Saccharomyces cerevisiae S288C: one gene and its partners. Changing the gene in region 2 together with the main gene of any one other region gives a genetic interaction. Each region holds a gene or a part of one and is shown on either strand. Other genes may lie near its edges. The genes, in order: SHR3, SSH4 and EAR1.

What was found.
Region 1: of SSH4 (region 2) and SHR3, extra expression of one rescues a mutant of the other (dosage rescue), as found in Saccharomyces cerevisiae (2 studies listed by BioGRID).
Region 3: of SSH4 (region 2) and EAR1, changing one enhances a phenotype caused by changing the other (phenotypic enhancement), as found in Saccharomyces cerevisiae (one study listed by BioGRID).

Annotation. Positions count from the first base shown.
Region 1 is NC_001136.10:75,279-80,419, forward strand, and holds SHR3 (Shr3p), read left to right. Parts: upstream 1-3,147; coding exon 3,148-3,780; downstream 3,781-5,141. Other genes in the region: serine/threonine protein kinase PRR2, read right to left, coding at 1-1,267; NOP6 (Nop6p), read right to left, coding at 2,011-2,688; YDL211C (uncharacterized protein), read right to left, coding at 4,016-5,134.
Region 2 is NC_001143.9:208,366-212,426, reverse strand, and holds SSH4 (Ssh4p), read right to left. Parts: upstream 1,835-4,061; coding exon 95-1,834; downstream 1-94. Other genes in the region: RRN3 (rDNA-binding RNA polymerase I transcriptional factor), read right to left, coding at 2,297-4,061. UniProt on the Saccharomyces cerevisiae protein: Components of the endosome-vacuole trafficking pathway that regulates nutrient transport. May be involved in processes which determine whether plasma membrane proteins are degraded or routed to the plasma membrane.
Region 3 is NC_001145.3:602,207-608,092, reverse strand, and holds EAR1 (Ear1p), read left to right. Parts: upstream 1-2,572; coding exon 2,573-4,225; downstream 4,226-5,886. Other genes in the region: HOT1 (Hot1p), read right to left, coding at 1-2,112; aldehyde dehydrogenase (NAD(+)) ALD2, read left to right, coding at 5,011-5,886.

The DNA of each region.
Region 1 (5,141 bases), on a different chromosome or scaffold from region 2:
TATTTGGGTTCTTCAATGTGGAGGCAATACAATATTCAGAAATTATGTTCTTGATGTATTTTCTCTCAGATTCCCTTTTTTTCTTTGACCTGTATTCCTTTAATGCAAAAACTTTATTATCCAGGACCCTTTGGACCAGTTTCACTTTACCACCAGAACCTTCGCCGAGAACAACGTCGAGATCTCTATATTTCCTGGAAACCAAGTCAGTGGATGCTTCAATATTACTATATAAAGCCTGAATAATCTGATCTCTATCGCTGTCTTCATTCTCGATCATGAGAGAGAATGATCCAGTTGAGACTGGCGAAGAAGTTGTTTCCTTCAATGATGATGATATAGCGCAATCATCTGCAACTGTGCTTTCCTGGTGATCGCATGAGTTACTGTTGTTATTGCTAAAAGACGTTATTTTGAAGAGCCTTTTGATACTTGACAATGACGTAGTATAGGAGTGTTTTCTTATATGGGCCGTGCTTTCAGTGTCCTCGATATGTCTTGTATTTACTTGCACTGCTTCTGAATACGTGTCGTCGAGAGGATTCGTGGACAGTGAAGAGACCGAATCTTCTAGAGAATATACACGAGTAGTGAACATCCTCTCTTCCTCATAAACATTATATTCATGTTCTGTGGAGGTGCATGCAATCTCATCACATGTCGCCGTGGCTGTCGTGACTGGAATATTGTGACCGATAGTATTAGAAGAATTGTTGTTATGCTTGTTATCACTGATATCATTCGCTAGATTTTTTTTGGTACTACTGCTGTTTTTCTTTGATGTAAAGAAAATTAATTTGCCATAACTTTTGGGTAAACTTAACGAGTTTGAGAAAGATGACGTAAAATCGGTAGAATTTTTCCTCAATCTTCCTTTAGGAACAATAAATCTTGCTTCAACCTTACTGACCATGGGAGAGGAAATAATATTAGAGTCGATTTTAGATATGTTTTCGGGCATCTTCGTGTCAATTTTCTCCATCCAGGAAGTGGTCAGCTTTTGCACGTCCGTGTTTTCATCATCCCGGGAAGATGCAGTAAAGTCTGTCCGAGGTACACTATCTGCAACAGGGAGAGAAGAAAAAACGGAATCATATGATTTATTTAGCGCCTCACCCGTCTTAGCAGCCATATTCACACCAACACTAGTGGGATCGCCTAACGAGACGGAATATGCCCAATTATCGGAATAGGCGTGTTCTGCAGTCAAGGAAGCTGTAGTTTTGTTATTTCTCTGATTATATCGCAGGATTCTAGACAACGACATCACTCCGTATGATAAGTAAAAGGATTACGTACGCTATTGTGAACGTTTTTGCAATCTATCTAGTTTTTCCTATTAACTTTTTTCTTTTCAAAAATTCATAAAGGCAAGGAAATATGTTCCGATTGACAATAAGTTCAGTGAGTGAATGAATGTTAATGAAAAGAATTCAATTTCCAGATTTTCGTATTTATTTTTTTTTTTTGCACCTTTCCTTATTGTGTGACCACAGCCGAAGGTGACGAAGGGATGGAGACTAGCCAAAGAGAGCCGGCTGTTAGACAAAAAAAAAAGCGGAGATTGTTTAACGGATACGTCTTAATAAGCAATCCGGCAGCACCGAGAATGTTTTTACCCTCTGTCCTTTTTCTTGGCGTTCCTATAATTCAAATAACCCCCAATATGCTAACAGCCGTAACCTTAAATGTTAGACATGTTACCCCTGTACGTCATTGCGGGGGGAGTGCATTGATTAAGGGGTAGTAGTAAAAATTCCCACCGGACTTGAAGTGCGGAAAAGTAGCTCCGATTTGGGGAAAAAAAAGTACCAGCCGTCTCGTCTTTCATGATAAAGTGAAATAGAGCAGCGGTAATAATGCGGCGCTATTGCTTCCGGAAGAGTTTACGTATTGGGCATCTTTGCCATTTCTTTTTTTGGCAGTAGCATGATTCTGCACGATTATTTATGTTTTTCCCTTTATTTTCTTTTTGTCTAAGATACATGGCGTATAAAATTAAATTTGTACTCATTTAAGTAGTTTGGCTCTATCAGGATGAATTCCTGCAGGAACAGGCTTGTTGTCTGTTCCAGAGGTTTGAGCTGCAGTGGCGGTAGTTTTGGCGATTTTCTTTTGGTTGCCGTCGTTAATCATCTTTGTCAACCTCTCTTTACGTTCTTCATCCAACTTGATGTTTTTGTTTTTCAATTTTTCTAGACGCTCTTGACTGTTACCACCTCCGCCAACAGTTAGCTCGACATTGATCTTCTTCTCTTTCAGTAAGGTCCCATGTTGTAATAAGGCAATGTCCATACGTCTTTGAATGCCGGTGCGATCTTTGTCAGCATCGAATTCCAAAAATGCAATACCTTTGTCAGCTCTGAGGCGGATCTGGTCGGGTGAACTATTTTTAAAATGGTTTTGCAATTCAACAGCAGTGATGTCTCTAGGTAAGCTACCGACAAAGACAATAAATCTGTTGCCCTTTTTACCATTTTTGCCCTTACCACCACGGCCTCTACGTGTTTTTCTTTTTTTCTTCACGGGTTCTTCACCATCATTTCCGGCTGCACTGTTGGGTCTTTTTCCTTCTGGTGCTTGCTCTTTTTTTACGTCTTTCTCTTGATCTTTTTCCTCCTTACTTTTTCTAAACTGCTGAGCTTTGAGCTGCTTCTTGGTCAACTTTTTATCTTCCTCGGACCCCATTTTAGCTGTAGACGTCTTCAATCTCTATCCTGTCCTCTACATTAGATTACTTTCTCATTTTCTCAGAAAACCTTTTAAGCTCATCGATTAAGAAGAAAAAAATCTTAGAAAATTTTCAGGAATGCCGGGTAAACGTATGGGGAAAGGACTTGGTGAATCGAGTTAATGTGGAGTTCGTAATAATAGTACTCTCATACCAAGTTTTCCATCCATAATTGTTTTTGGTTGCCGTTACTTTACACCATCACCTTTCGCCAATGTAATTGGTGGCTCTTTCCCTCTCCATCTTTTTTTATAATGTACTAAAATTAATACACGATAACAATTTTTTCGGGTTGTGTAAAAACTCTGAAAAATATAAAAAGTTGATGAAAGGACAGATTTAAGTATTTTGGAAGACAGCCGTAAATTCATTGGACTACAGAGCATAAAATCCCGTGATACGATAAAACTCTAACGATGTTCTCATATTCAGATTTCTGTTCTATCGGTACGGCCATGATCTTATCGGCCACAACGTTCCTAATGGGTGTTTTCTTCAGTAACATGCCATACGATTATCATCTTTTATTTAATCCTAACTCTACTCAAGAGCATTTCGATTTGGCACTGAGACATTACCAAATTTTACATGAGACTCCATTGCCGGTGATTGTTACTTTGTGCGTTGTTGCCGGTATTGGCTTAGTTGGTGGTACAATTAAGGTTTTCAAGCCAAACCCTGAACTGCAGATGTTTGAGTATTGTTCATTGGGGTTGTACGTGTTGGCTATCTGTGTGTTTCTCACTAATGTGAAAACAGGTATCGACTGTTCTGTGAGCCATAATTGGGGAGAAGTTACGGAAAATCAGGGTTTGGCAGTTATTGCTTCCTCCAACATAATTTTATTAGTTATGTTTGCCGGTGTTATCATCCTACAAATTGGTTTGTGGTACAGTAACTGGGATTTGCAAAAAAGATTAAAGGAGTTTTATGCTCAAGAAGAAAGAGAAGCTGCCAATGCCGGTAAAAAGACTGAGAAAGTTGACAATGCGAAAAAGAATGATAACAAATCTAAAGGTGCTCAAAAGAGGAAGAACGCCAAAAAATAGGCCATAATATTTTTAACATTTTCTCTTTTTGTCCCTCTTTTCCCGTCTGTGACGAAACAGACGATTATACGAATCTAGTTGTATAGTAAGATCAATATTTATTATATAAATACTGTTGAATAAATAAAACTCTATCTGCTTCGTGCATAAATTTACAAATAATTCCAAAGAAATAGCAACAAGTACCAGCCTTGTTTAGAAGTACGAAAATCTTGGAATCCACTTTTTTCTATTTTTAAATAATTTCTCTCAAAAAGCTATTGGTTTGCTGAATATTTGGCCGAGTAATAGTAGACGCACTGGAACTTGTTTCTTCAATGGATGACTCCGCAGATTCATTGTATGACGATACGTATGAAAATCTCCCGGATTCGTGATCCGCCATCCCATAATAAGGATGTGCTATATATATACCGTCTGAGGAACTAGCTCTGTGTAAATCTCTACCATTTTCAAAGGAATCTCGTTTGCCCTCGCCGTTGGTTGTTACTTTATAATTAAGGACATTTAGGAACGGATTTGACGGTGCTTCTGTTTCTGTTACCTCATCACAACTTACCCTCTTGCCAATATCATGGCTAAAGCCCTTTTTGCTGTGATTTTTCACGTTTCGTCTGTTTCTAATAATTATGAATCCGATAAAAATTACTATTACAACTCCAATGACAACTCCAACCGTAGAACCGACAATAACTCCGGTCCTTCTATTATTGGCATCTGAGGTATCTTGAGTGTTTAGTGCACCAGATAGATATTGATAAAGTTTAGCATCCCCGGTAATGGTATTGGATGGAATGGTGAAAGTTAACGGAGGATTTGATTCTTGAAGCACAGTTGTTTGGGGAAAGTGGGTGTTAAATGTTGTCGATCGCTCTGTAAATTTGTATTCTTGGTCATAGATGATATAAACTGAGTTCTCGCTGGTGAATACGGAGTATATTTCCGATGTAGAGGTTGAGGTAAATGTTGTAGATAATGGTGTTGTTAGTTTAGTCGTCGAAGGCTCTATGGTTGGCACCTGTGAAGTAGTGAAAGTCTTCAATGTACTTAACAGTCCTCTATCGATAGTGATATTGCTTTGAACAGAGGAAGTGCAATTGCTAACCAGATATTGTGGACTTGAAGTGTTGTTGCGGAAGGAAGTCGTACCATATGCGGTTGATATGGGGACCTGAATCGAACTTTCTAAACCCTCAATGAGGTTCGTCGTAATTGAGGATACAACCTCAGTGGATAATGCAAAAATGTGGTCTGTAGCTGATGATAAGCTGGCGGTTTCTGACGTGTCAATTTCACTCAGACTTCTGGATTGAGGTGTGCTTATGTATTGCGAAGACGTTACATTTAGTAGCATGGCGAAG
Region 2 (4,061 bases):
CATCTAAACTATCGAATTGAAGAAAAAAAAGCTAGTAGGAATGTATATATTGTGTATGCGTAAATTGTAAAAAAAACCAAATTCATAATGTCTCTTATTTTCTCGATCTGTTCTTCTTTTTAGAAGATTTGCCTCTGTTTCTTTGACGTTTTTTAGTAGATTTATTTCTAGGGTTCTTATTGATAGCTCCATCTGATACTTCACGGGGGGTATTTGAATTTTCCGGTCTTTTATTGCCATCATCTTCCAATAATGGCGAATTTTCATTGCAACCAGCGTTCTCATCGTTGTTATTAACATTGTTATCGGTGTTGTTATCGTCGGTTTCAAGACTGTCGTGGTAAACATTATTTTCTCTGTCAAAGTTAGAAGAGATTCTTTCATACGTCCCAACAGACCACAGGGGCTTACTAGTTTGCGCCGTTATCCTAGAGGATGACCCTTCTTTTACCTTCATACTACCAAAGAAATTATCAGTGTCAGCATATCTTGGTGGCAATTCTTCTCCTTTCTGTAAAATAGTATCCTTCTTGATCTCGGTTCCATTATACGCAGGAGGAATTCCAATTTGGCCATAAACACTCCCAAACGCATATTTTTTCACATTGGCTTCTATAAAGACGAACCCAACTTGGCCCAAATTAACATGTAATTCAACCTCATCTGACGTCATTTCATCACTTTCATCATGTGGATCGTGAACTCTTTGAAGATCTTTGGCGACTTCAATATCTTTGCCTTCAGAGAGAGCTTCACGGAAGCTAACATTATCCGGGTCTTCCAATAGACCATCCCTCGTATATGTTCTTGTATATGCGGCATTAAACGCGCCAATTCCAATGAAAAGATCAATGCCAATATTTTGTGTTACATCCATTAATTTTTTCCCATTATGTGTAATGAAGATTGTACCTGTTTTATATCTGTAACCGAATCCTACCGTGTCACCTTCTTCCAATTTTGGTAATAATGTGCTGGCAGTGAAGGGGTTATTTATCCTCAGTTTACCTGTGGATTCGTATGCAATGGAGTATTTGGCCATGCCCGGTACCCTGAAATAAGGATATGGTACAGTAGTCAAACCTATACTGAATATACTATTGGACTTTTGAATATGTCTGAAAATTTTAACTTCGAAATACACTGCGTCCTTCCTATTGTGAGGTAGGGGATAGTTCATTACAGTGGATGAGCTCTTATTGAACTTTGAAAATTGAATATCTAGTTTATCCTGGACAATAAAACTGGGTAGAAAGTTTCCATATTCGTCTATATTATCATTAATGCTTGGTAGCAAAAAATAGCTTTGAATGCCACGATCCTTAATAAACTGCTGGTCGTCACTGTCCAAATACGTGCCAAAGTCCTTCACCATTGGCGGGCTCATCATTTGAAACTCTTTCGCTCTTATATACAACTCAACCTCGTACGCTGACATCTTTGGTAATTCTTCAAGTTCTCTTTCCTGAAGAACGATCTCATCATCAAACCCGCCAGGGGATGCAAAACTCGAATCCAACAAGATGCCACTATGTTTTTTACCAAACAAAGAGTGCAGAGTTCCTGAAGTTCGTGTACCTAAGGCGTTCTCTTCGTCGTATTCTGATTCATCATCACCACAAAAGGTGACATATGCCGCTATTACTACCAAGATGAGCATTAATATTGCAAACGTAATAGAAAGACTTATTAAGAAAGCCAAACTAATTGCTGCAGAATCTGAATCCATAGGGGGAGTTGGTACCATGTTAGGGTCACCTACTTTGAAGTCATGATTCGGACTCTCTAGATTACCAAAAGAACTATCCAAAGCCTCATTAAAAGTGACATACATTGCTCTTGTATACCTTCAAGTTTTTTTCTTCTTCCTAGTTACAAATAAAATAGATGAAAAAAGAGCTATTACTGCTTGTTCTGTTTATTTCGATTAATAATACCCACTATTGACTTTACTGAATATAAATATGTGCCAAGTAATCTAAGTACAAGCTGTTCGGATAGCTGAGATTTTGACTCAGGAACCCCTCCCCACAGAAACTCTTTAATAAGTAGACCTGCGAATGTAAAGCGCGCACGTAGTAAGTGACGAGAACAAACAAGCGTTCTAAAATGCAAAATATCGTGAAGAGTACACTGTGGAAAATAAAAATACTAAGTTTCTATAGTATCTAGAAATCTAAAAAATGTGTTAAATGCATTTATGCTATATATCCTCATTTCAACTATTAATGGGGTGACTACAGTGTATCATTAGTTTGTGACGGGCATGTCTCGAAGATACCTATGAAAAAAGACCTTAGTCATCCGACCCATCACTTTCATATTCCCCGCTTGCTTCACTCCACTCTATGTAGTATTCCTTCATTAAAATTTTATAGTTTTTCAGAAACAAAGGATCATATGGGAAGTAACTCTGTAAGTCAATAAATTGTTGTCGAGTGGCTAAAGACCAAGAAGACGATGTGGTATTTGCTTGTGCGGAATTTTCCTTCTTGTCGCTATCAGCTTTGCCGATGATTCCCCTCAATCTTTCATTGTTGTTATTTTCAATTATGCTGAAACAGTACGCGACGCTTTCTTGTTGGGCAATACGAGCAAACATCAACATGACATTTTCATTACAAAACTTTAATGGGTTAAATTTTGAAATGACCATTCTTTGAAAGAATTTGTCCAGTTCACACTCCCAGTTACCATCTGTATCTCTGAAGATGTTATGTCTGAAACAGAAAATGTAACAAAGTGCTTGAAATGCTGCATAGAAATGTTTAAACCTTTCCATACCTCCACGTTGATCAACTTCTTCTTCTCTTTCGATAACGTATCTATTCAACCAGGACGTTAAATAGCTTGCAACGAAAATAATTTGAGTTCTGGATAGTTTCTTGGCCCTCGCAATGTACGACCCCAAATATTGTAATGACTTAATTTTCTTCTCTGCTGCTTCGTTGACGGCAAACGAAATATCTATCAGTGTCACTAAAAATGAATCCATTAGTTCTAATTGTTGTTGTGAAACATGGAACATGATATATTGAATCGACCTGGTATAGTACGTGGGTAGAACATGCGTTTTAAATAATGTTGTTAGAGTGTTGAAGACTCCTACGCCTTCACCGCTTTCTAAACTCTCCGGCGTCACTTGCTCTTCCACATGCGTGCTTACCAAAGTTAAGATAGAGTCCAATTTGGTGGAAAGTTCTTTGATTCCCTGCGTCAACTCCACATTATATTCTTCAGTACCGTCCATACCTTCAATGATGTCCATATCTTCACTATCACTTTGACTACCGTCGGCTGCTCCAGACCTTAACTCTTCATTACTGTTCCCACAATTTTCATCATCATCGTCTCCTGAATCATCATCTAAATCGTCGTCATCCTCTAGATCAACTTCCTCTAGATCATCGTCATCTACATCATCATCTAATTCATCTAATTCATTTTGTAACTCGACATCAATCGAAATAATCTTTTCTATCAGTAAGGACCAAATTTGGAATCCTAGCTCAGAGCAGTAGCCTCTCAATTTCAGCAAATTTGAAGTGTAATTAACCAACTTTCTCCGAGTATCATTTTTATTTGGGAAAAATTTGGCCAAATATGTATCTATGAATCCCATCGAGGAGGGAATCATCCTTAAGAAATATTTAAGCATATCATGATGACACACTGTCTGTTTGATTGGTAAAATAAAACAAGATACCAGTATCATCGAAACGTCTTGCCACCATTTGGGTATACTCGAGCAAAGGATTTTGATGAAATATATATATTTACTTAGAGTGTGTGGAGGCAATTCCCACCACTTCTCAAAGTTTATGATAGATTGTATGAGGAAAGTTCCCCTGGAGGATTCTATCCTGTTGATATTACTAGATAAGATATCCAAAAGAATATTGAGATTCTTATCATTAATTCTTTCAGGATTCTTGCTCGGAAGCGCTACTTGATTGGCAATTATGCCGATCTGGGTTGAATCATTCTTATCCAGATCATCTAGGGCAGATTTCACGAACCTGCTATACATGGCCGCTGAAAACACTTCATCTTTTATCTCC
Region 3 (5,886 bases), on a different chromosome or scaffold from region 2:
TACTTCGCCATCCTCATCATCTTTATATAGCCTTTTGTTCTCTAAGGTTTCTATCATCTCTTGTGCCGTTTTACCTCTCTCCATACCGTTCAGAATGAACTTGTACAATCTTTTTCGCCTTGAAAAGGTCTTCTTATTTTTATTGAGCCTCCACTTGTTACCATACTTGGCCTCAAGATGCTTGATCGATGGCTTTCCTCTTATTCCAGTATCATACTCTTCCCATATAGTCTTTACGTCAGTGGGAGCCTTCAATATCCTATAATGTAAATCAGAGTTTATGTTGGGCTTAGTAGCCGACTCGCCGTGAAGCTTTCTTCTACCGTTTAAAGAGTTACTTTTTTTATGATGCAAGCTCCTCCTCCGCTTGTTAATCGAAGCGTTCTTCATATCTGTTTCGATTTCATCATCTACTTCATCTTCCTCAGCAGTGCTGTCTTCTTCATTATCCCTTCCATCACCTTCGTCATCACCGTCATCATCATCATCCTCTTGATAGCCATCATCGTCGACATTACTTTTCACTGTCATTGGTTTTGGGTACGACGGTAGAGTAGAAGCTCTGTTTCTATTTACAATATTCGTGTTCACCCCTGACTTACCACTCGGTAACAATTCAGATGTCGTGCTATCCTGATTGATCAATTGGGAAAATGATAGAGGCTGCTGGGTATTATTTATAATAGGGGGTATAACATTTTGATTTGGGGGAAAAGAAGCGTTATCTAGGGCTAAGCTGGGCAAACTTAAAGCTGTTGTCGTGCCAAAGTTATTCAATGAATTTAAGTCATGAAATGAATTTGAAGCACTGGTGACGCCTGAATGAATGGAAGAATTGGTATAATTCATGCTAGTTGTAGAATTATGAGAATTCGTTAATGGAGATAGGGCTGATATGGGCTTTTGTGCAGCACTAGCATGGTCATTTGTGCTCGCATTGTTGTTACTTTGCGTATTTCTTCTGCGCCGTTTAATCCCATTTGGGTTCAACTTGAATGGCTTGTCAGTTGAAGCGTTCGGGAAACTAATAGGCGAGCGATTTACCTGCTGATGTGTATTTGTGTTATGAATTAAAACCTGCGACTGGTTCTGATTGGCTTGTGTGTTTATAACAGGACCAAGTTGTCGGTTAGGGAGCGATTGGTTTATATTTTGGGAAACATTATTTCGATTATGCTGCTGATCAGGTAAGATAGTATTTAGTGCGTTAGAAAATTGGTTGTTTAGCTGTGCAGTATTCGTATTCACATCTATGGTTCCATTCGTAGTCCGATGCTGGTTGATACCAGAATGGGTGTTGGAATCTCCTGTACATAAATCAGCAGTATGCTGTCTACCAGAGCCATTATTCTGCATTTTCTGCAAGTAAGCACTACTAACGGCTGATATCGAATTTAGCAATTCGATAGCAAGCTTATTTTGGGCATTGTTTGTGCTTGGGCGCGCGCTTGGCTGCGCAACCAACTTAAGTAATATATTCAATTTGTTCATAACTTTATAGTTATCTTGTTTTAGGTTTAAAACCATTGTATTCTGTTCCGCGATCTTATTAGATAACTTGTTGAAGCTTTCCTCCATCTCAATCATTCGGGCACTCATTTCGTCCATTCTTTGAAAAATCTTCAACTGATCCGTCGATATTTCGTTCGACGGTGAATCATTAGTCAAGGATTGGCTTAACATACGCCCTGTACCCGCCGTTGTCGAGTTCGAAGCGGAAACATTCGAGTTCACCCGCTCTTCATTACTCAGTTTTTCACCAATAGTTTCTGTTGGTTGACTGGTACCTGTGGGTGCTGAAATCGCTGCTGAAGTCCTCAAAAGACCTCCATCTAGTGCATTTCCATCGTTGCGAAGTGTACTGGCGTTACTGCCACTGGCGCTCTCTGAACCAGTCGTAGGCGAAATGTGAGTGGGCAGTGAGAGGTCAAGATTGATACCTATAGCATCTTCATTTACTTGACTATTCATCCTGTACCCATCCTTTAATGTAGTGGGCATCATTAAGAATAAGAAGAAAGGGCTCATCAGTGTAGAATAATCGAAGCTGATGGTTATCCTATAAATCTTTGTACGTACGATGCAAAGAATCGCAATACCCATTCCAGACATTATGCTCCAGCCATATGTACCCTAAATATAATCTTTTTTGTATATAAAAAACCTAAAAAAGAGATAACTAAACCTAGCTCAATATTTAATTTGACCTAACCCTCCGTCGGCCCTTTTTTTTTATTTTTTTCTTCGGAACGGTGCGCTATAAAGAAAAAAGGCAAATTCCAGGTTATCCATATAAACGCCATAACAAAATTTCATTGATACAGGCTTTAAGAACCTTGCTCTATTTACTACTGCTCTTTCTTCCTCTCTCAGGTTGAGCTATTTTTGAGAATAGCGCTTTACTGCTGCATGGAGGAGTGATTTTTTATAGAACATTGAAAAACCAAAGGACTGGTGCCTAACTACAAAATTTTCAAGAGTTGTTTCAAGTTATCTATATTGTCATTGGTTAATAATTATAAAAAATCTTAAAGTTTGGAGAGCCAAATTTTTTTTCTATATAAAAAAGCAAATGTCATTCAAGTTTCTGATAGAATCGCTGCTTCTCGGTTCGATAAGCGGACAAATACGGTGTGGTAGATCTTCGGTGATCCCCCGTGGCGATGTATCTTATGGGGGAGACGATACTGACGAACTTAACATGGATATAATGTTGTTTGCGTTTGGAACCTTAATCGTGGTCTACATCGTCATCTGTATCGTTTATTTTTTTACAAAACAGATAGCTACGCGGCTTATAACTGCATATTATAATGAGCATGGCCCTGGCCAAAGAATATCTTTATTCAGCGATTATGACGAAAATAATGCACACGTTCATAGCAGAAGATTAATGGAAAACATGAGTTTAAGGTGGCCCAACAATCTTGACGATGCTGATGAAGTAAGAGATAAGCTGGCACAGTTGTCACCTGAAGAGCAGTTTTATTATAAGCAAGGTGAGGAGTATATCAAGCAGAACCCACCATTTCTGCTTAACCAGGGACTTTTACAACAGTCCGAAGATAGCAATCCAGACACCACCCGTGAAGACCCTATTATGAACGAGCAAACAAGGCAATATATTCAAGAAGAGGGGGCTTATGCATGGGAGTTTAGCCCAAATCCTGATATGCCAAACCATACTGTCATAGTGGAAAATAAAACAGAGGTTTCTTTTCTAAATTATAATTATGATGCTTCTATATCCACAAATCTACCCATTCCGTGTATAAATAAAGTATATTATTGTGAATTCAAGATATTTGAAACGGATGGCCCACTAAACAGTGATGAAAATGTATCGAAAGGTGTCATCTCATTTGGTCTTTCCACACAGCCTTATCCATATTTCAGGTTACCGGGAAGACACCACCATTCGATAGCATACGATTCTAACGGCGCCAGAAGATTTAATGACTCCTTCAAACTAAATGAGCAATTAAGAACGTTATTTCCACAGTGTGAAAAGGGAGACATTGTTGGCATTGGCTATAGGTCACGTAGTGGAACAGTATTTTTCACCAGGAACGGAAAAAAACTAAATGAAAAATCTGTTGGTGGTCATATCCGCGGCTGGAAATTCCAATACCTATACCCGATCATTGGCTCCAACGTACCTTGTCAAATTCATGTGAATTTCGGCACTTATGGCTTTGTTTATATAGAAGCAAACGTTAAAAAATGGGGATACGCAAAGTCAAACGGCATTAAATTACCTCCTCCTTCTTACGAAGACTACGGTAAAGATACCCTATTAGAAAGCGGTGGTGAAGACAATGATTTCGACGAAGATTTTTCAGACGGTGATAGCGACAATATTGCGGCTGGTAGTACTACAAATCTCAATGATGATATAATTATAAGAAACGGTGAAATATTACCGCCACCACCTGGATTTGAATTCACTATGTCCCCTCCCACTGGAAAGAAGATCATCAATGAGGAAATTAATCTAGATTCCTTACCTATGCTACCACCAAGTTACTCGGACGATGAACATCATTCGAAAAATGATAAATCAGCAATAAGCGGACGAATTATTGGAACGAGCAGAAATTTAATTACTGATGAAGCATCTTTCGATAGTGTTGATAATGATAACGAAGATGAAAATGATCACGAGAGAGATCCCGAACAATTTTCAGAATTTGATGATTACGAAAGCAGGATGCATGGCATATAATACGAAAATGCATGAGATAGTAAGGCTGAAACACTAGCCCCGGTCAGTTATCTTTTTTTGCGCTGTATTACGCAGAGCCACCATTTTTTAAAAACATTGCAATTTATAACGTTTTCTTCCTTATTGAGGGTTTCAACGCTATCACCTACTCGATATCGCAGTGCAGCATATAGATATTTACATACATATATACATATGTTTACGTACACTAGTAAGGGCAACTGGTTGACCCGCAAACTTCCTTCTTACTTTCCGTACTTTTGCCATCTTTACTTGCACCTCCGTGCTACCTCTTAATGTGTCACAAGAAGAACGTATGAAGTATTTGTCAGCGCTTCAGACATCAGCATGGGTTGCAAATGCGTGAGATTAAAATGAAGCGTTCCAGCTCGAAAGAAAATTTGCTTATCTTTCCCTTCTATCATTTTTTTTTTCTCGTTTTTTATTTTGCATTGCCTTATCTTTTGCCGCCAGAAGAAACAAGGTTGCCATTATCGTGCCATGCGTTTACTTGCTAACGCCCTATGATGTTCCCGGCGGCTTTTGGATACTAATAATAGCAATCATATACCCTTTATTGGTTACTCCTATCCAATGATGAGTTTTTTTAACTCGTTTAAACATTAGGGATGCAATCTTGTCGACACTCACTGATCATATCCCGAATTTTGCTCAAGAATGTTCATATAAAGGGAGCGAATCCTTAAAAATACTTTTGGCCCATTCCTATCATTTTTACATTGCATGTCCATCAAAAACAATCGTGAAAATAAGCCAAAAGAAAAATGCCTACCTTGTATACTGATATCGAAATCCCACAATTGAAAATCTCTTTAAAGCAACCGCTAGGGTTGTTTATCAACAATGAGTTTTGTCCATCATCAGATGGAAAGACCATCGAAACTGTGAACCCAGCTACTGGCGAACCGATAACATCCTTCCAAGCAGCTAACGAAAAGGATGTAGACAAAGCTGTGAAAGCTGCCAGGGCTGCTTTTGATAACGTTTGGTCGAAGACATCTTCTGAGCAACGTGGTATTTATCTTTCAAACTTATTAAAACTTATTGAGGAGGAGCAAGACACACTTGCCGCATTAGAGACTTTAGACGCTGGAAAGCCTTACCATTCAAATGCCAAAGGTGATTTGGCACAAATTTTACAGCTTACCAGATATTTTGCTGGGTCCGCTGATAAGTTTGACAAAGGTGCAACCATACCATTGACTTTTAACAAGTTTGCATATACTCTAAAAGTTCCTTTTGGCGTTGTTGCTCAAATCGTTCCATGGAATTATCCTCTAGCTATGGCTTGTTGGAAATTGCAAGGTGCCTTAGCAGCCGGTAACACGGTTATCATCAAACCTGCTGAGAATACCTCTCTATCTCTACTTTATTTTGCTACTTTAATTAAAAAAGCAGGTTTTCCACCTGGTGTTGTCAATATCGTTCCTGGTTATGGATCACTTGTAGGCCAAGCCCTAGCATCTCACATGGATATCGACAAAATATCTTTTACGGGAAGCACCAAGGTCGGTGGATTTGTGTTGGAAGCTTCCGGCCAATCGAACCTTAAAGACGTTACACTAGAATGCGGTGGTAAGTCTCCTGCTCTCGTATTTGAAGATGCAGACCTTGATAAGGCTATCGATTGGATAGCAGCT